Linked DNA regions of Struthio camelus. The protein of the gene in region 2 interacts with the protein of the main gene of each other region in a pairwise test. Links are inferred from orthologs where the notes say so. Each region holds a gene or a part of one and is shown on either strand. Other genes may lie near its edges.

Region 1 (9,823 bases), on a different chromosome or scaffold from region 2:
CCCAGGCATCCAGGGAAGGGGCCCAGGTGTCTGGGAAAGGGACCCAGGCATCCGGGAAAGGGGCTCAGGCATCCAGGGAAGGGGCCCAGGTGTCCGGGAAAGGGACCCAGGCATCCGGGAAAGGGGCTCAGGCATCCGGGGAAGGGGTCCAGGTGTCCGGGAAAGGGGCCCAGGTGTCTGGAGAAGGGGCCCAGGCATCCGGGAAAGGGACCTAAACATCCAGGGAAAGGGGCCCAGGCATCCAGAAAGGTGCGCAGGCGCCCAGGAAGGGGGCCCAGGTGTCCGGGACAGGGGCTCAGGCATCCGGGGAAGTGGCCCAGGAGTCCGGGAAAGGGGCCCAGGCACCCAGGGAAGGGACCTAAGCAACCGGGGAAGGGGCCCAGGCATCCGGGAAAAAGGGCCCCGGCATCCAAGAAAGGGGCCCAGGCATCCGGGGAAATGATCTAAGCATGTGAAGAAGGGGCCCAGGCATCCGGGGAAGGGGCCCAGGCGTCCGGGAAAGGGACCTAAGCATCCAGGGAAAGGGCCCAGGCATCCAGGAAAAGGGCCCAGGCATCCGGGGAAGGGGCACAGGCGTCCAGGAAAGGGGCCCAGGTGTCCAGGCAAAGGGCCCAGGCATCCGGGGAAGGGGCCCAGGCGTACGGGGAAATGGGCCCAGGCGTCCGGAGAAGGGCCGAGGCCTCCGGGGAAGAACCCAGGCATCCGGGGAATGGGCCCAGGCATCCGGGGAAGGGGCCCAGGCATCCGGGAAAGGATCTAAGCATCCAGGGAAAGGGCCCAGGCATCCGGGAAAAGGGCCCAGGTGTCCAGGGAAGAGGCCCAGGCATCTGGGGAAATGATTTAAGCATCCGGGGAACGGTCCAGGCCTCCGGGAAAGGGACCTAAGTGTCCGGGGAAGGGGCCCAGGCGTCCAGGAAAAGGGCCCAGGTGTCTGGGGAAGGGGCCCCGGTGTCCGGGAAAGGGACCTAAGCATCCAGGGAAAGGGCTCAGGCATCCAGGAAAGGGGCCCTGGCATCTGGGAAAGGGCCCAGGCATCCGGCATAAGGGGCCCAGGCGTCTGGGGTAAGGGGCACAGGCGTCCGGGGAAATGATTTAAGCATCCGTGCAAGGGGCCCAGGCCTCCAGGGAAGGGGCCCAGGTGTCCGGGAAAAGGGGCCCAGGCGTCCGGGGAAATGATCTAAGCATCCGGGGTAAGGGGCCCAGGCATCCGGGCAAGGGGCCCAGGCGTCCGGGAATGGGCCCAGGCGTCCAAGAAAAGGGCCCAGGCATCTGGGAAAGGTCCCAGGCATCCGGTAAAAGGGCCCAGGTGTCCGGGGAAGGGCCCAGGCATCCGGGAAAGGATCTAAGCATCCAGGGAAAGGGCCCAGGTGTCCGGGAAAAGGGCCCAGGCGTCCGGGGTAAGGGGCACAGGTGTCCCGGAAAGGGGCCCAGGCATCCGGGTAAGGGGCCCAGGCATACGGGGAAGGGGCCCAGGCGTCCGGGAAAAGGGCCCAGGCATCCGGGCAAGGGGCCCAGGCATCCGGGGAAATGATCTAAGCATCCAGGGAAGGGGCCCAGGCGTCCGGGAAAGGGACCTAAGCATCCAGGGAAAGGGCCCAGGCATCCAGGGAAGGGGCCCAGGTATCCAGGAAAAGGGGCCCAGGCATCCAGGGAAGGGGCCCAGGCGTCCGGGAAAGGATCTAAGCATCCAAGAAAGGGGCCCAGGTGTCCGGGGAAATGATCTAAGCATCCAGGGAAGGGGCCCAGGTGTCCGGGAAAGGGACCCAGGCGTCCGGGAAAGGGGCTCAGGCATCCGGGGAAGGGGCCCAGGTGTCCGGGCAAGGGGCCCAGGTGTCTGGAGAAGGGGCCCAGGCGTCCGGGAAAGGGACCTAAACATCCAGGGAAAGGGGCCCAGGCATCCAGAAAGGTGCGCAGGCGCCCAGGAAGGGGGCCCAGGTGTCCGGGACAGGGGCTCAGGCATCCGGGGAAAGGGCCCAGGCATCCGGGGTAAGGGGCCCAGGCGTACGGGGAAATGGGCCCAGGCGTCCGGAGAAGGGCCGAGGCCTCCGGGGAAGAACCCAGGCATCCGGGGAATGGGCCCAGGCATCCGGGGAAGGATCTAAGCATCCAGGGAAGAGGCCCAGGCATCTGGAGAAATGATTTAAGCATCCGGGGAAGGGGCCCAGGCGTCCGGGAAAGGGACCTAAGCATCCAGGGAAAGCGCCCAGGCATCCGGGGAAGGGGCCCAGGTGTCCGGGAAAGGATCTAAGCATCCAAGAAAGGGGCCCAGGTGTCCGGGGAAATGATCTAAGCATCCAGGGAAGGGGCCCAGGTGTCCGGGAAAGGGACCCAGGCGTCCGGGAAAGGGGCTCAGGCATCCGGGGAAGGGACCTAAACATCCAGGGAAAGGGGCCCAGGCATCCAGAAAGGTGCGCAGGCGCCCAGGAAGGGGGCCCAGGTGTCCGGGACAGGGGCTCAGGCATCCGGGGAAAGGGCCCAGGCATCCGGGGTAAGGGGCCCAGGCGTACGGGGAAATGGGCCCAGGCGTCCGGGGAAGGATCTAAGCATCCAGGGAAGAGGCCCAGGCGTCCGGGGAAATGATCTAAGCATCCAGGGAAGGGGCCCAGGTGTCCGGGAAAAGGGCCCAGGCACCCAGGGAAGGCACCTAAGCAACTGGGGAAGGGGCCCAGGCATCCGGGAAAAAGGGCCCAGGCGTCCAGAGAAAGGGGCACCGGTGTCCGGAAAAGGGCCCAGGCATCCAGGGAAATGATCTAAGCATGTGAAGAAGGGGCCCCGGCATCCTGGGAAGGGGTCCAGGCATCCGGGAAAGGGCCCAGGCGTCCGGCATAAGGGGCCCAGGCGTCCGGGAAAGGGGCCCAGGTGTCCGGGGTAAGGGGCACAGGCGTCCGGGGAAGGGCCCAGGCGTCCGGGGAAATGATTTAAGCATCCAGGGAAGGGGCCCAGGCCTCCAGGGAAGGGCCCAGGTGTCCGGGGAAAGGGGCCCAGGCGTCCAGGGAAATGATCTGAGCATGTGAAGAAGGGGCCCAGGCATCCGGGAAAGGGGCCCAGGCGTCCGGGAATGGGCCCAGGCGTCCAAGAAAAGGGCCCAGGCATCTGGGAAAGGTCCCAGGCATCCCGTAAAAGGGCCCAGGCGTCCGGGGAAGGGCCCAGGCGTCCGGGGCAAGGGGCACAGGTGTCCAGGAAAGGGGCCCAGGCATCCGGGTAAGGGGCCCAGGCATACGGGGAAGGGGTCCTGGTGTCCGGGAAAAGGGCCCAGGCATCCGGGCAAGGGGCCCAGGTGTCCGGGAAGGGGCCGAGGTGTCCGGGCAAGGGGCCCAGGTGTCTGGAGAAGGGGCCCAGGCGTCCGGGAAAGGGACCTAAACATCCAGGGAAAGGGGCCCAGGCATCCAGAAAGGTGTGCAGGCGCCCAGGAAGGGGGCCCAGGTGTCCGGGACAGGGGCTCAGGCATCCGGGGAAAGGGCCCAGGCGTCCAGGGAAGGGGCCCAGGTGTCCGAGGAAGGGGCCCAGGTGTCCGGGAGAGACCCAGGCATCCGGGGAAACGGGCCCAGGTGTCCGGGACACGGGCCCAGGTGTCCAGGAAGGGGCCCAGGCGTCCGGGGAAGGGCCCAGGCGTCCGGGAAGGGGCCCAGGTGTCCGGGGAAGGGGCCCAGGCGTCCGGGAAGGGGCCCAGGCGTCCGGGGAAGGGGCCCAGGCGTCCGGGGAAGGGCCCAGGTGTCCCGCCGCCCCCCCATCCCCCGTTAAGCCGAAACAACGTCGCGTTTCTCCCCGATTCCCCCCCAAAACCCACCGCCCCCCCCCCGGGCTCCCGCCGCCGGCGGCGGCCGAACCGCGGCGCGCCGCGATGACGTCACCGCGGGGGCGCCGGCCCGGCCAGGCGGCGCAGCCGAGCGCCGAGCGCGCCGACCGGCCACAGGCGCGCCCAGCCGCGCGCCGATAGGCTGTGGCGGGCGCGGCGCGCTGACGTCACGGCGCGCTGACGCGGCGGCGCGCTGACGTCACGGCGCGGCCATGGCGGCCGCCGGCAAGGTGCGGCGCTACGAGGCCTTCGTCAGCGACGTGCTGCAGCGCGACCTGCAGTGCGTGAGCCCCGCCCCCTCCCCCCTCGGCCCCGCCCCCTCCCCCCTCGGCCCCGCCCCCTCCCCTCGGCCCCGCCCCCGCACTCCCCCCGCCCCACCCCTTCTCTCCCCCTCCCCCTCGTGGGCCGCCGCGCCGCCCCCTCCCTCCTCACGGCGGATCGGCCACGCCCCCCCGCCCCCCTGGCCACGCCCCCCCGCCCCCTCCCCGGCCACGCCCCCTGCCCCCCCGCGCCGCTGCCCGCCCCCCCCCACCCCGCACAGCCAGCCCCTCCCCGCCCACGCGCTCTGGCCCCGCCCACGCGCTCTGGCCCCGCCCACGCGTTCTCTCCCCCCGCGCTCTGGCCCCGCCCACGCGCTCTGGCCCCGCCCACGCGTTCTCTCCCCCCGCGCTCCGGCCCCGCCCACGCGCTCTGGCCCCGCCCACGCGTTCTCTCCCCCCGCGCTCTGGCCCCGCCCACGCGTTCTCTCCCCCCGCGCTCTGGCCCCGCCCACACGTTCTCTCCCCCGCGCTCTGGCCCCGCCCACGCGTTCTCTCCCCCCGCGCTCTGGCCCCGCCCACACGTTCTCTCCCCCCGCGCTCTGGCCCCGCCCACGCGCTCTGGCCCCGCCCACGCGTTCTCTCCCCCCGCGCTCTGGCCCCGCCCACGCGCTCTGGCCCCGCCCACGCGTTCTCTCCCCCCGCGCTCTGGCCCCGCCCACGCGCTCTGGCCCCGCCCACGCGTTCTCTCCCCCCGCGCTCTGGCCCCGCCCACGCGCTCCGGCCCCGCCCACGCGTTCTCTCCCCCCGCGCTCTGGCCCCGCCCACGCGCTCCGGCCCCGCCCACGCGTTCTCTCCCCCCGCGCTCTGGCCCCGCCCACGCGTTCTCTCCCCCCGCGCTCTGGCCCCGCCCACGCGTTCTCTCCCCCCGCGCTGCGGCCCCGCCCACGCGCTCCGGCCCCGCCCACGCGTTCTCTCCCCCCGCGCTCTGGCCCCGCCCACGCGTTCTCTCCCCCCGCGCTGCGGCCCCGCCCACGCGCTCCGGCCCCGCCCACGCGTTCTCTCCCCCCGCGCTCTGGCCCCGCCCACGCGCTCCGGCCCCGCCCACGCGTTCTCTCCCCCCGCGCTCTGGCCCCGCCCACGCGCTCCGGCCCCGCCCACGCGTTCTCTCCCCCCGCGCTCCGGCCCCGCCCACGCGTTCTCTCCCCCCGCGCTCCGGCCCCGCCCACGCGTTCTCTCCCCCCGCGCTGCGGCCCCGCCCACGCGTTCTCTCCCCCCCGCGCTCTGGCCCCGCCCACGCGTTCTCTCCCCCCGCGCTCTGGCCCCGCCCACGCGTTCTCTCCCCCCGCGCTCCGGCCCCGCCCACGCGCTCCGGCCCCGCCCACGCGCTCCGGCCCCGCCCACGCGTTCTCTCCCCCCGCGCTCCGGCCCCGCCCACGCGTTCTCTCCCCCCGCGCTCCGGCCCCGCCCACGCGCTCCGGCCCCGCCCACGCGTTCTCTCCCCCCGCGCTCTGGCCCCGCCCACGCGCTCCGGCCCCGCCCACGCGTTCTCTCCCCCCGCGCTCTGGCCCCGCCCACGCGCTCCGGCCCCGCCCACGCGTTCTCTCCCCCCGCGCTCTGGCCCCGCCCACGCGTTCTCTCCCCCCGCGCTGCGGCCCCGCCCACGCGCTCCGGCCCCGCCCACGCGTTCTCTCCCCCCGCGCTCTGGCCCCGCCCACGCGCTCCGGCCCCGCCCACGCGTTCTCTCCCCCCGCGCTCTGGCCCCGCCCACGCGCTCCGGCCCCGCCCACGCGTTCTCTCCCCCCGCGCTCCGGCCCCGCCCACGCGCTCCGGCCCCGCCCACGCGTTCTCTCCCCCCGCGCTCCGGCCCCGCCCACGCGTTCTCTCCCCCCGCGCTGCGGCCCCGCCCACGCGTTCTCTCCCCCCCGCGCTCTGGCCCCGCCCACGCGTTCTCTCCCCCCGCGCTCTGGCCCCGCCCCCGCGCTCTGGCCCCGCCCACACGTTCTCTCCCCCCGCGCTCCGGCCCCGCCCACACGTTCTCTCCCCCCGCGCTCTGGCCCCGCCCACACGTTCTCTCCCCCCGCGCTCTGGCCCCGCCCACGCGTTCTCTCCCCCCGCGCTCTGGCCCCGCCCACGCGCTCCGGCCCCGCCCCCCGCCCCCCCATCCACATCCCACCTCCCGGCCCCGCCCCCGGCCGAGGCCCCGCCCCCGCTGAGGCCCCGCCCCCCCCCCCGCAGGCGGGTGCTGGCGCAGCGGGAGGCGGTGTGCGAGCAGCTGGCCCAGGTGCTGCAGCTGCGCGCCGCCCTGGAGCGCCTCCAGGTGGGCGGGGCCTCGGCCGAGGGGGCGGGGCCTCGGCCGGGAGGGGGCGGGGCCTCGGCCGGGTGGGGGGCGGGGTCAGCCCGGCTGCGCTGCCGGGGGCAGGGGGGGGTGCTGCTGCTATGGGGGGGGGCTGGGGGCGGGGCCACGATGGGGGCGGGGCCACGATGGGGGCGGGGCCACGGGGGGCGGGGGGTGTGGGGGGAATTGGGGGGGATTGGGGTCTTGGGGGGGATTTTTGGGGGGGGAATTGGGGGAGTTTGGGGGTCCGGAGGGTGATTTTGGAGGAATTTGGGGGTCTGGGGGGCGATTTTGGGGGGAGCTGGGGGGATTTGGGGGTCCGGAGGGCGATTTTGGGGGGAGTTGGGGAGATTTGGGGGAGAATTTGGGGGATTTGGGGGTCTGGGGCAGATTTGGGAGTCTGGGGGGGATTTTGGGGGAATTTGGGGGTCTGGGAGGCGATTTTGGGGGGAATTGGGGGGATTTGGGAGTCTGGGGGGATTTGGGGGGGAATTGGGGGGATTTGGGGGTCTGGGGAGCGATTTTGGGGGGAATTGGGGGGATTTGGGAGTCTGGGGGGATTTGGGGGGGAATTGGGGGGATTTGGGGGTCTGGGGAGCGATTTTGGGGGGAGTTGGGGGGATTTGGGGGTCTGGGGGGCGATTTTGGGGGGAATTGCGGGGATTTGGGAGTCTGGGGGGATTTGGGGGGGAATTGGGATTTGTGGGTCTGGGGGGTGATTTTGGGGGGAATTAAGGGGATTTTGGGTCTTGGGGATTTTGGGGGGAGTTGGGGGGATTTGAGGGAAATTGGGGGGATTTGGGGGTCTTGGGGGGATTTTGGGGGGGAACTGGGGGATTTGGGGTCGGGGGGATTTAGGAATTTGGGGAAAATTGGGGGGATTTTGGGTCTTGGGGATTTTGGGGGGAATTGGGGGGATTTGGGAATTTGAGGGAAATTGGGGGGATTTGGGGTCTTGGGGGGAATTTTGGGGGGATTTGGGGGGATTTGGGGTCTTGGGGATTTTGGGGGGAGTCGGGGGGATTTGGGGTTGGGGGGTTTGGGGGGAATGAGGGGGATTTTGGGTCTGGGGGGGATTTGGGGGTCTGGGGGGGATTTGGGGTCGGGAGATTTGGGGATTTGGGGGGAAATTGGGGATTTTGGGGGGGATTGGAGGGTCTGGGGGGGATTTGGGGGTCTGGGGGGGGGTCGGGGGGGGCATTTTGGGGCGAACCGGGGCGGTTTTGGGGCCGGCAGGAGGCGGCCGCCCCCCTGCGCACCCAGGTCGACCTGGGCTGCAACTTCTACGTCGCCGCCGAAGTGTGAGTGACCCCCCCCCCCAAAACCCACCCCCGGGACCCCCCAAACCCACCCCGGGACCCCCAAAATCCACTCCGGGACCCCCAAAAACCCCCCGGGACCCCCAAAATCCACCCCGGGACCCCCAAAAACCCCCTGGGACCCCCAAATCTTCACTGGGACCCCCCAAACCCACCCCGGGACCCCCAAAATCCACCCCGGGACCCCCAAAAACCCCCTGGGACCCCCCAAATCTTCGCTGGGACCCCCCAAATGCACCCCAGGACCCCCAAAATCCACCCTGGGACCCCCCAAATGCACCCTGGGACCCCCAAAATCCACCCCGGGACCCCCAAAAAACCCCTGGGAACCCCCAAATCTTTGCTGGGACTCCCAAAACTCCCTGGGACCCCCCAACCCCCCCCCGGACCCCCCAATATCTCCTCTGGGACCCCCAAAACTCCCTGGGACCCCCAAAATCCACCCCAGGACCCCCCAAATGCACCCCGGGACCCCCAAAATACACCCTGGGACCCCCCAACCCCCCCCGGACCCCCCAATATCTCCTCTGGGACCCCCAAAACTCCCTGGGACCCCCAAAATCCACCCCAGGACCCCCCAAATGCATCCCGGGACCCCCAAAATACACCCCGGGACCACCCAAACCCCCCCAGGACCCCCCAATATCTCCTCTGGGACCCCCAAAACTCCCTGGGACCCCCAAAATCCACCCTGGGACCTCCCAAATCCCCTGGGACCCCCCCAAACCTACCCCAGGCCCCCAAAATCCACCCCGGGACCCCCAAAAAAAACCCCTGGGAACCCCAAAACCCACCCTGGGACCCGCAAAATCCCCTCTGGGACCCCCAAAACCCACCCTGGGACCCGCAAAATCCCCTCTGGGATGCCCCAAAACCCCCCCCAGGACCCCCCAACCCCCCCCAAGGACCCCCAAACCCCCCCAAGGACCCCCTAACCCCCCCCAGGGACCCCCAACCCCCCCCCAAGGACCCCCAAACCCCCCCAGGGACCCCCAACCCCCCCCCAGGGACCCCTCAAACCCCCCCCAGGGACCCCAACCCCCCCAGGACCTCCCGAAACCCCCCCAGGACCCCCAGGGCCCCCCCAGGGACCCCCAACCCCCCCCCAGGACCCCCCCAACCCCCCCCAGGGACCCCCAACCCCCTCCAGGACCCCCTCAAACCCCCCCCCAGGGACCCCAAATCCCCCCCAGGGACCCCTAACCCCCCCGGGGGGACCCCAACCACCCCCCAGGATCCCCTCAAACCCCCCCAGGGACCCCAAATCCGCCCCAGGGACCCCCAACCCCCCCAGGACCCCCCAAACCCCTCTCCAGGGACCCCAACCCCCCCCCCAGGACCTCCCGAAACCCCCCCAGGGACCCCCAACACCCACCAGGACCCCCCAAACCCCTCCCCAGGGACCCCCAACCCCCCCCAGGACCCCCCCCAAACCCCCCCAGGATCCCCAAACCCCCCGCAGGGACCCCAACCCCCCCCAGGGACCCCCAAACCCCCAGGACCCCCCCAAATCCCCCCCCGGACCCCCCCAAATGCCCACCAGGGACCCCTAATCCCCCTGGGGGGACCCCAACCCCCCCTGGACCCCCCCAAATTTCCCCCAGGGACCCCCAACCCCCCCCAGGACCCCCCCCAAATCCCCCCAGGGACCCCAAATCCCCCCCAAGACCCCCCCAACCCCCCCCAGGGACCCTCTAACCCCCCCCAGGGACCCCAACCCCCCCCAGGACCCCCCCAAATCCCCACCAGGGACCCCAAATCCCCCCCAGGGACCCCCAACCCCCCTGGGGGGACCCCAACCCCCCCCAGGACCCCCTCTAACCCCCCCAGGACCCCCCCAAACCCCCCCAGGGTCCCCAAACCCCCCTGGGGGGACCCCAACCCCCCCCAGGACCCCCTCTAACCCCCCCCAGGACCCCCCCAAATCCCCCCCAGGGTCCCCCAACCCCCCCCAGGACCCCCCCAAATCCCCACCAGGGACCCCAAATCCCCCCCAGGGACCCCCAAGCCCCCTGGGGGGACCCCAACCCCCCCCAGGACCCCCTCTAACCCCCCCCAGGACCCCCCCAAACCCCCCCAGGGACCCCCAACCCCCCTGGGGGGACCCCAACCC
Region 2 (9,823 bases):
CCAAATGAAACACCAAGCCCCACCGTCCTGCTGGGTTTGGTGAAAGGCAGGCTGAAATGCCAGCAGGAACAAAGAGTCTCCAGGGAATCAGTGTGGACTGATGGATGAGAAGCTTAATTAGAGTTGCCTGAACATTAAATATCATTAAGAGAGTGCACAGAAATTTGCTCTATTTTTCTAAATGGCCTCTTTATTGTCTTTTTGTTCACAGCTGTCAACGTTTTTGAAACTTCTCAGTTTCCAGCTCTTCCCCCTCAAGAATGAGGCTGATGCAACTGTGCTTGCACATCAGTCAGGCCTCCCTACTGAACCTGATGGCCAACTGACACTGAATTTAGGAGGAGGGTAATCTCAAAGACATCAAGTCCTTACAAGCTTTGGATTTAGGCAGCTGGAGAGCAGATACCCTATGAAAGTCCTATTGAGCAGGAGATTGCAGCATGAGACAAGCCCATACGGGACACCTGGGAAATCACACAGATCAACCACAAGTGAGAAAGCCATAGGAAACAAGGCTCAATTGGCTATGCCGATCATTTTTAGAGCAAGTTGTAAAAAAAAAAAAAAAAAAAAAAAAAAAAAAAATTCTTTTCATGCTTTAAAAGGCTACTGAGCACAGTAAGATTGTTTGGAAGTGTTTAACAGATTACAATTAGTGGAAAAAATTAATAGACTATAATTGGATGTTAAAAAAAAAGTATACGTCCTCCAGGTGTAAGAAACATCAACGGTGTGGGATTTCCAACAGCAGCGTTTCCTCTCGTGCCTGGCTGTAATGAGTAACCATCTTCTGCAAGGCCAATGGCTGAGGGCTCATTCGGCTTCCACCAAATCTGGGGAAAACGTGGCTGAATGCTACGGCAGACTGAACAACCAAACGCCACCGACTTCAGCAAGAACCAAAGCAGAGACAACCCCAGAAACACTATCAGGAAAGAGGAACGGCACCGTGAGTAAAAAAAGTTAACACAAGCAGCACAGTTTGAATATCCCGGGGGAGAAATTTTAGCACGAGGTTTTTTTGTTAGAAGTTCACACACATGCCAGAAACGCCGCAGCTGTTGGTTAAGCCCGAGCGTACCCACGGACACCTGTTAGCAGTTTCAGTGTATGCCACTCGGCCACACTTCCGTTTTTAGGTTTTGCCGAGTAAAACAGTAAAAATCAGAATGAATTTTGGAATTCGAACAAGTGCATGCCAAACGTTCAAGATCCTTAACTGGAGCCGCTTCAAAGTAATAACTGGATTTAAGTGCCAAGTCCGAGTGTGATCAGAGAGGAGGGTGAGAGATGGAGGCTCCCCCACTCTGTTTTTCTTCCTCTTTTAACCATACCTTGTTGCAGTTGCACGCTACCAATGACAGATCTGTGTTAACGTCATCTCTTGGGCAACGCCTTAAGCCATACGAACTGGAGCTATCCTTGAACTGGGCTTTAAGCCCAAATCACATACGCCAACTGATGTCAGAAAGAATGGTTTTGTGCATACTGTTTCCCCTACTTCAATACAGAACCTGGGGTCAGAGGCGAGGTGGACGAGGCCACGTGAAGGTCAAAGTTATCACCAAGTAATGTGGTGAGAAGTTTGCTCTCAGGTGCCTGATGGCAAGAGTTGAGGCTGGCGAGGTAACAGCATTTGCTGCGCGCGACAGCAGCAGTGCGAGTCCTCCGAAGGCTGAATTATGCTTTTGTTCCCTAGTGCTGAAGCAATACTTGTGAAATAAAACACTTGGCGAGAAACTTGCTCGCTACCAATTTCCATGCTGCTTATTTAGGATTAGCCCTTGGGAACCCGAGATTTCAGAGAAATCTAAATATCCATCTGCTGTGAACGCTCACGGTTGATGAAGGCGACCAGAAAAGCGTCACCTGGAAGCTAATTGGGGCACCAAAGTAACCAAGCAAGTCCCTGAGCAATGGGGTTTTCTAGGCCTGGCTTCAGGCGGGGCCGTGCCGAGGGGATTCTCCAACGGCTCGTAGCCCAGCCTCGGCGACAGCACCGACGTGGCCTCTCCTCCACACACAGACAATTACTCTTGAGACTCTCCATTAAACATGGTTCAACATCCACTACAGCTGAAGGACAGGCAGACACATATGCATGCACGGAGTGACTGGATAAGCCTCATTTCCTTAGGATCACGTTAAAAAAAAAAAAAGTGCAAAAAACCAGTAATGCCACTCTGAGCTTCTGCCATAATCCTGCCTTGCTTCGGTGCAGAGTGGTCTAAAATCTCCTGATGAAAGTTTTTCTCTTCTAAAAAGTGCAGCTTCACCTTGATCAAAACCATTCACAGAAAGTGTTTGAAGCAGGAGAAGAAAGTTTTGCTTCAGCATTTTCAAGAGGACAGATACTGCCTTTCCCCCAAATTCACACCATGTTTTCACCTGGCTTACTTCAGACTAATTGTTTTGCAGAGCAAAAATGTAATTCCATGCAGAACAAAGACTTCCCATCAACCTGAAACAAACTAAACCAAAAAAGAAAAAAAAAACCTTAAATAATAATAATTTTAAAAAGCCAGCAAGCCAAAAGGCAACCTACAGTTCTCAAAGCTTTCACCGGAGCGGCAGCACCAGACCCGGCTTGCTGCCCTGATGGTCACCGGCCCTGCCAGTCCCCCCGCCCCACGGGAGAGCGGCAGCCTGTTGCGGGAAGGTAACGCGCAGAAGTACCTCGTCAGGAGGAAACGACCAGTCCAAAGGGTCATTTTGTGAGCTGTAAATTGAGAGCAAAGGGAAAAGCCTCTCAAAGCTTTTTTCCCAAAATTAACTTCTGGAGACGCGAGCCAGCCGGGAAGAACGGCAAGGATGCCGGGGACCGACAACACCGGCAGCCCTGCTACCGCGAGCAAGCGCAGGCGGTTGCGTGCGAGTCAAATTCCTGCACGGGGTGGGAAAAGGAGGAGTGGAAACCTGTGCACCTGGGGCTTTAATCCCATTCCCCTTGTCAGGGGGGAAAAAAAACATCATCAGCATTAGACTGACAGAGCTCTCGAGCAATTCTCCTGCTCCTGCAAAAACACCCTCCGTGCAGCAAGAAGCCTGTCCTCAACGGTGGCGGTGACAGAGCTGCCACCTCCCCGTAGCCATCAACACAGACTCTCGCACGGGGAGGGGGAGCCCAAGTTTCTGCTGCTGTCCTAGGCAGCGTTATTTAAAGTTTAAAGTACAATAAAGGCGCTAGCAATAAACAGACTAGCAACAATGCCTCAGTGTCATCTCAGTATACAGTGCACCTATATATGTTTATATATCATACATATCAGCAGGCCATGGAGAGCCACCTTATCACAACTACTAATGCTGTTCCCTCATTTTCCAAATGCTAAAGCCTATTAAAAAAAAAAAAAAAAGGCTCTAAAGGGCAAGACCATCACAAGGGCTCGCTGCTGCCCTTTGGTGCCTCGCAAGTTGGTGGGAATTTTGTCCTTAGCTGCAGTGACAGCCGCGTTAGTTTAATGCTGAGCATTTGGGGGGGGGGGGGGGAATCCATTGTTTCTTTATTTTAACCCAAGGCCGGTGCGTAACAAAGAGGGAGGCAGGCAGCCTGCGTGTTAGCGGCTGGTTCGTCCTGAAATTCTCAGGGTCTCATCAACACCGAGGGTCTGCCCGCCCCGGGGGGGGAACCAACCAAACGAACAAAAAAAAAAAAAAAAAAAAGCCCTCACACAACAACCTTTTTTTTGATCGTAACCGTAATCTGAGCAAGTCAGTCACCGCGCCGTTCACCTTCTGCAGCGACGAGCGGCAGAAGCACAGAAGAGCCGAGCGGGTTTCAGGCGCTTCCAACCCCTCACACGCACAAGCGCCCACGAGCGAGGGCTTCCCCCCCCCCCCAAAAAAAAAAAAGCCGTTATCGACATACGGCGGCCACGGGTACCGGCTCGCCGAGGGGAAACCTGGAAGGGGCACCACCTCCAAAGAAAGTTGGCACCAACTTCCACGGGAAAGCAGACTGCCAGAAAGCAAAACGCCTTAAAAAAAAAAAAAAGAAAGAGAGAAAGGAAAAAAAAAGGGGGGGGGAAAGGGGAAAAAAGGCATTGTCACTAAAAAAAAAAAACAAAAACCTCTCGCCCACCGAATAAGCGGAGCTCACCTATATCTACCCTTCATAAAGCGCCTGACGAGGAGGAGAGGGCACCCACGAGCCGGCTCCGCGCCGCGGGCGCTGCAGCCTCCGCCGGCCCCGGCTCCCCGCGCTGCGCTGCGCCGCGGCCGCCCCGCGCCGCGCCTACCTCGGCGGCGCCGCCGTCACGCCGCCCCCAGCGCCATGTTCCCGCGCCGGCTACATCCGGGCTCGGCCCGGTTCGGCTCGGCCCGGCCCGGCCCGGCCGCAGGTGCCGCCCGCCCCCGCGCGGGGCGGGGCCCTTCGCCCGCCGCGCCGCCCACGCGCGGAGGGCGACCTGGCGCTTTTGTGCGCCCGCCCGCGCGGGCAGCCCTCCTGCCAGCCGCGCGCACGCCCACCCGCGCTTTCGCTCCGCCGGGCCCACCCGTGCAGCCCCCCACACGCCCCCTCCATCCACCCGTGCAGCCCCCATGCACCCCCCCGCCCATCTCTCCGCCCAGGCGTCCACCTGTGCGTCCACCCGCCCACCCGTGCATCAAACCCTCCACCCACTCCTTTTCCTTAACCAGTACTAATTGCGTCCACTATTCCTTTTGTTTTAGGCAACAACGTATGAGCAGACAGGAGCTCCTGCTGTTTCAGCGCGCGGCGGTGCGGATTCTCCAGTGCGCGCGGGGGGACTTGTGCGACGCTGTACGGCCGTGGCGTGTCCTACCTTCCCTGTGTAATTTGTCGGCGAAAGGCGTTTAACAAAGCGCAGTTCTGAGGGGTGAGGAGGGCTACCATTGTCCAAGTGCACAAAAACAACGCCACGGATCAAACAGGGCACGTGGGCATCTTCAGTCATAATGCCTGCGGGCAGAAATTTTGGTTTAGAAGTGTCAGAGGTCACTGTTACTTGTAACCAGTTCCCATTCCTCTCGCTAGGTGATACTCACGTGTCTGCACACTCCTCTGCTTCAGACCGTAACATTTTTTTTTTTTTAATTGACAGCGCGAACGCCGAGATGGCAGATAAACAAAGCAAACGACAAAACCTGAAACACGCTCAGTTCCTAGGCTGCACTTCGGCGCCCAGCCCGCAGCGGCACTAAGCGAAGCAGGCGCAGGGCGATGCTGCCTCGTGGCAGGGAGCTTCAGCAGCGGCCGCCAAGGCCAGGAGCCATGCCACGTTCGAGAGGGGAGCGCCGCACTTCCGTGCGGATGACAGGAGCGTGTTGAATTGTAGAAGACTGGAAAGGGGAGGAGGAGGCGGCGCTCGTTCCCGCGGGGTAAAGCCAGCGTACCTAGGCGAGGCTCAGAAAGAGCTGTAAAGGCGCCGCGTATTTCTCCCCAGGCTCCCTGCGTGGAACCTGGTCCTTGGGTTTTATTTGGTTTGTTTTTATTTTGTTTTTGTTTTTTTTACACCAACACCTGCTCCGACATGTTTTATTATCTGTAAGAGCTCCCTGAGCAGTGGACAGACCCTAGACATAAATCCAGTTTAGGCGAACCAATGGGAAGGAAGCAATCAGAGAAGTACGAAAGCAAAATAAATGTCTATCCTCTGTAATTTAGGTGTATTACTGCCTGCAATTTGTGCCTGCCTCTGAAAGCTGTTTTAAGCCTACGTTTTTATATAACATTCCATAAGAAAGATTAAGATTGCCTTTAATAAGGGTACCTATCAATCTTAGTAAATGTTAAATCAGGAGAGAAATACCGTGGTCGCACTCATGTGTGACCATAAACCAAGAAATACTGAACGCTAATAGCAAAGTGTTTTTCAGAGTCATGTAAAGCATAAGATATCTGGAAGGAAAAGCCTGAAAATGGCTTGATTTATACAGCCTGGTCTGAGAGAGAGGTGGTCCTATATGTAACAAGTTAGAATTAAATGTCATTTCTGGTTTCTTTGATGTAGGCTTTTGTTGAAATGCACTTACGATGCTGCGGAGTAGAGAGTGCATGACAGAAACGTCGTAAAGGTTTACATTAGAGCTGCGTAGGGCAGCCGCAATTTTCACAGGGCAGCCGTGCTAGCAAAGAGAGAGACATGCCCATAACCCGCCTGCTTGGAGAAGCGATGGTCTCGAGAATCCCTTTTTCTCCTCAGATAGATTCATACCCGCCAGCGATCGCCGTTACAGTCGTCATTTTGCCTCCTCGAGTAGGTAGCGGCACTCAACGACTGTCGCTCTACAAATAACACGTGCAGCCAAGCCTTGCCCCGAAGGGCAGCGGGAACGGGGAGCGGGGAGAAGGGAGGCTCCGCACCCACCACAGCCCAGCCCACCCCGTGCGAACGGCCCTCCCTGCTCCAATTTATTTTTAATCTGGCGGGAGGAGGTGAGACGCTGTTCAGAGCAGGAGGTGAGATCCCTCTTTCATATCATTGCAAGTGACAGTCAGTCACTCAGATTATGCTAAAACTGGAGAAAAAAATGGGGAAATATGACAACGTAAGCGAAAGCAAGCTGGGCTGAGGGAAGAACGATGGCCAGAAGGCGTTGCACCAGCAGGTCCTTTGCCCACTTCCCAGTGAGCCTGGCGGCTCTCAGACGCAGGGTGCTCCCCAAAACAGCTCCCTGGGCCCCCCGGCCAGGCAACACACCCCGGGCGCATTGCACATAGCATCACCCACCGGCCGGGCTCGGGGCCAAAGACCTTGCCTAGACCTGAGCTGACAGACCAAGGACCTGCCAAGGTTGACGTCTTTTTTCTCATCTTGCACCACCCACACCGTGGCTGCAGTGGAGGGATCGGGTTCAGTAAAAGTTGCCCTGGTTTTCATGGCCTTTTTTCTCCCTCGGCACTGTAGTTTTCTGCAGTTTTTCACTGGCCCCCTGTTTACTTCAGCTTAACCATGCTGCACTGAAAGCTAGGCCTTTTGTGATAATCTCTGAACCCACAACTGCCATTCATTAGAGTTAATCATAGCTCTCGGCACTTACCGCAGACCTTATCGCCTTTAATGTCTCAGAGGGGCCCTTTTCCCTTTTCAGACACGCAGCAGTGCAGGGAGGTGCAAAGACTGAGGCTCTAATGGCCCTCAGCTCTTCACCCGAGCTCTGAACAGGTTTCCATATGTGCTAAAAAACCTACATTAACAAGAAAAAAATCCATCAGAAATTTACTCTTCCATTATCCATAACATTTGCTTCCATCTCATCTTCCTTGCTTTTCCCCTAAACTGCTGTTCTACCTAATGCTGCAAGGTTAAATAAGCTCCCTTTGCTCTTGAGAGAACATTGCATTTGGCTGTTCAGAAAGCGTCTGCTCTGTCTTCAAAAACTGGAAATGACAGCGGTGACTATCGCCAGGATAAGAGGGAGTCCTCTCCTTACTGCATCGGTGGGAGCACAGGAGCTAAAAGGAAGACTAGGTGCAGATGACCACAATCACAGATATTGGATAAAGCTATTCAGAAATATGGTGGACCAGAATTCACACTCCTAAATCTGAAATTCAAAACAAGTTTTGGGTGCGCACAGCACATGCTGCCCCTGAGTGGGTGCCTCTGTTGCCCAGGATTTGATTTAACCTCAGCCGGTGTGGTTCGGCTTGTGTTCCCATAGCCACGACCCACAACCGAGACGAGAGACCCTCCCCGTTGAAGTCACCCTGTTGCTTTTGATTTCGTTTGGCTTGTTTGAGTCTCAGCGGTCTTAGCAGCCAGGAGCAACGTTTCAGTTGCCACTGAAGGATGTTCAGCTTCTGGGAAAGAAAAAGGAAAAAAAGTCAAGCATTTCATTAAAAATAAAATAAATCTTGGACTTAGACTTCATTGCAGGATTGGAGACTTATATACTGATGTATCAGACTGTATCAGAAATAACGCAGTATAAGGCAGCAAAGATTTTTTAGTTTTAAACCAGCAAGTGATGTGTGTCTGTAACACAAGGTGTTGCTTGTCAAATCTTGACATTGTACGTATAGCTGATGGTAGGAGAAAAATCAAGGTTTTGCTATTTTATCTTTAGTTTCAAGTGTGATTTGGAGGAAATGAAGAAATTGCCTCAGTGACTTGGCAAAAGGGGATGACGACTGCTAGCCCTGTCACACCCGGCGCTGTTGCCTGAGCTAGGAAATGGGTGGCTCAGTCTGGCTGAAAGAATAGCATAGCGACGGCCGCCTGGAGGCGTGGGAGAGGCAGATGAAGGTCCCCCGGCCCCAGGAGCACACAATGGCTGGAGACCTTCTCACAGCCCAGCACACAGCTGTCCACTATGCCGACATCCAGTGCTCCTTGGATGTCCTTCAGCTATAGGTTTGGGAAAAAGGTGCTGCACCCACATAAGAGCGCAGGGAGAGGAAGATGGTAATAATCCTCTCCACCCCACTTGGCACCGGGCTGGAGAGGCTGCGAGTCTCCTGGATTGCCTTTCACAGACCAAAGGGGACACAAAAATCGAGACCGTCTAAGGAGACCATGGCCAAGAGCATGTGTATCAACTGGGACCCTCGAAGGAGACCCCAGCCAAGAGCGTGTGCATCAGCTGGGAACCTCTCAGGAGTCCATGACCAAGAGCGTGTGCACCAGTTGGGACCCTCCAAGGAGACCCCAGAACGCGCGCATCTCAAACACTGCCTGCTGGTGTTTCTCTGGAGGGGTTTTTGCCCACGTTGCCCCCACAAGGGACTTGGCCACAGGCTGCGGAACCTAAAAATGGGGCAGCAGCTCCTGTCCCCGACGCCTCCTGTGAAAGAAGCAGCCGCAGCGTCTCCTGGGTGGCCAGATGCTGCTCTGCCCGGGGACTAATTGAAGCTAAGAAACCAGATATCTAACTTGGAAATCAGTCTCTGGTGCATCTCCAATAAAAGTCAGCTGAACTAGCTGAAGGATGAACTGGACTCTGTTTAATCCCTGCAGTCCAAAAAATACATGTGTATGTATATATATTATATATACACACACACACTCCACTGAAGGATGAACTTGACTCTATTTAATCCCTTCAGTCCAAAAAATACATGTATATGTATATATATATATACACACATATATATACACACACGCACACGCACACACACACACTCCAAACCACAGCTTTTGAAAGAGATTTGTTTTGCTTTTGGCTTAATCTTACACACGCTGGTATAAACCCGAAACGTGGCCCCTCAACTCATTGCAGCTTCAAATGAGAGGAAGATGAAAACGCAAAAAGTCCTTTTTCCAGAAAAATCAGAGCACAGGACTTTTTAAATTTATCTATGCTATATGTTTAAAAACCAGTAATTTTCCATTAAATTAAATGGATAACACTGAATATTATGGCTTAGGTTTCACTATAATATTATAATAAACTGAAATACAAACCCCCACAAATTGTTGATGAAGTCAAACCATCGAAGCGGCTGAAATATTTGTTAAACCATCTGGATCAGAAGTTTCTTGAAACTCTAAGTCAATTACATACAGGCATATTTCTCTTCTGGATGCACAGAAAGATGTTCACTCAACATTGAGACAACAATCAGGGATCGAAACTGAAGAGCAAACGGGTTATTCTGCTTTCCCAATGTGAGCTTTTACAAGGACTTTGTGATTAGAAACAGCCTAGTCTGTCTGCTGACAAGAGGTAATATTTCCTGCACTGTCGGTGTCAAATGCAGAATGCGTTTTGATAGTTGTACTCTTCTCCTTACCCCCTATACCCTGTATATTTAAGCTTATGCTCTGAATTAAATTAGAAAATATTAACTGATGGATGTTTCTTACTCTACTTCGCAGTGTACCTTGAGACAAATGAACACTAAAATTAGTCATGTAGT

Evidence for each region. The genes of interacting proteins can lie anywhere in the genome.
Region 1: the proteins of PAK5 (region 2) and UXT interact in binary tests that used the Homo sapiens proteins (3 or more experiments, as listed by UniProt). The two-hybrid records come from large-scale screens. The link is inferred for Struthio camelus from reciprocal best matches to the Homo sapiens genes PAK5 and UXT.

The regions. Positions count from the first base shown.
Region 1 is NW_027182705.1:15,445-25,267, reverse strand, and holds the start of UXT (protein UXT), read left to right. Parts: upstream 1-3,879; 5' UTR 3,880-4,008; coding exon 4,009-4,076; intron 4,077-6,291; coding exon 6,292-6,373; intron 6,374-7,627; coding exon 7,628-7,692; intron 7,693-9,823. UniProt on the Homo sapiens protein: Involved in gene transcription regulation. Acts in concert with the corepressor URI1 to regulate androgen receptor AR-mediated transcription. Together with URI1, associates with chromatin to the NKX3-1 promoter region.
Region 2 is NC_090944.1:129,340,832-129,350,654, reverse strand, and holds the start of PAK5 (serine/threonine-protein kinase PAK 5), read right to left. Parts: upstream 4,339-9,823; 5' UTR 4,239-4,338; intron 4,226-4,238; exon of another isoform or gene 4,100-4,225; intron 1-4,099.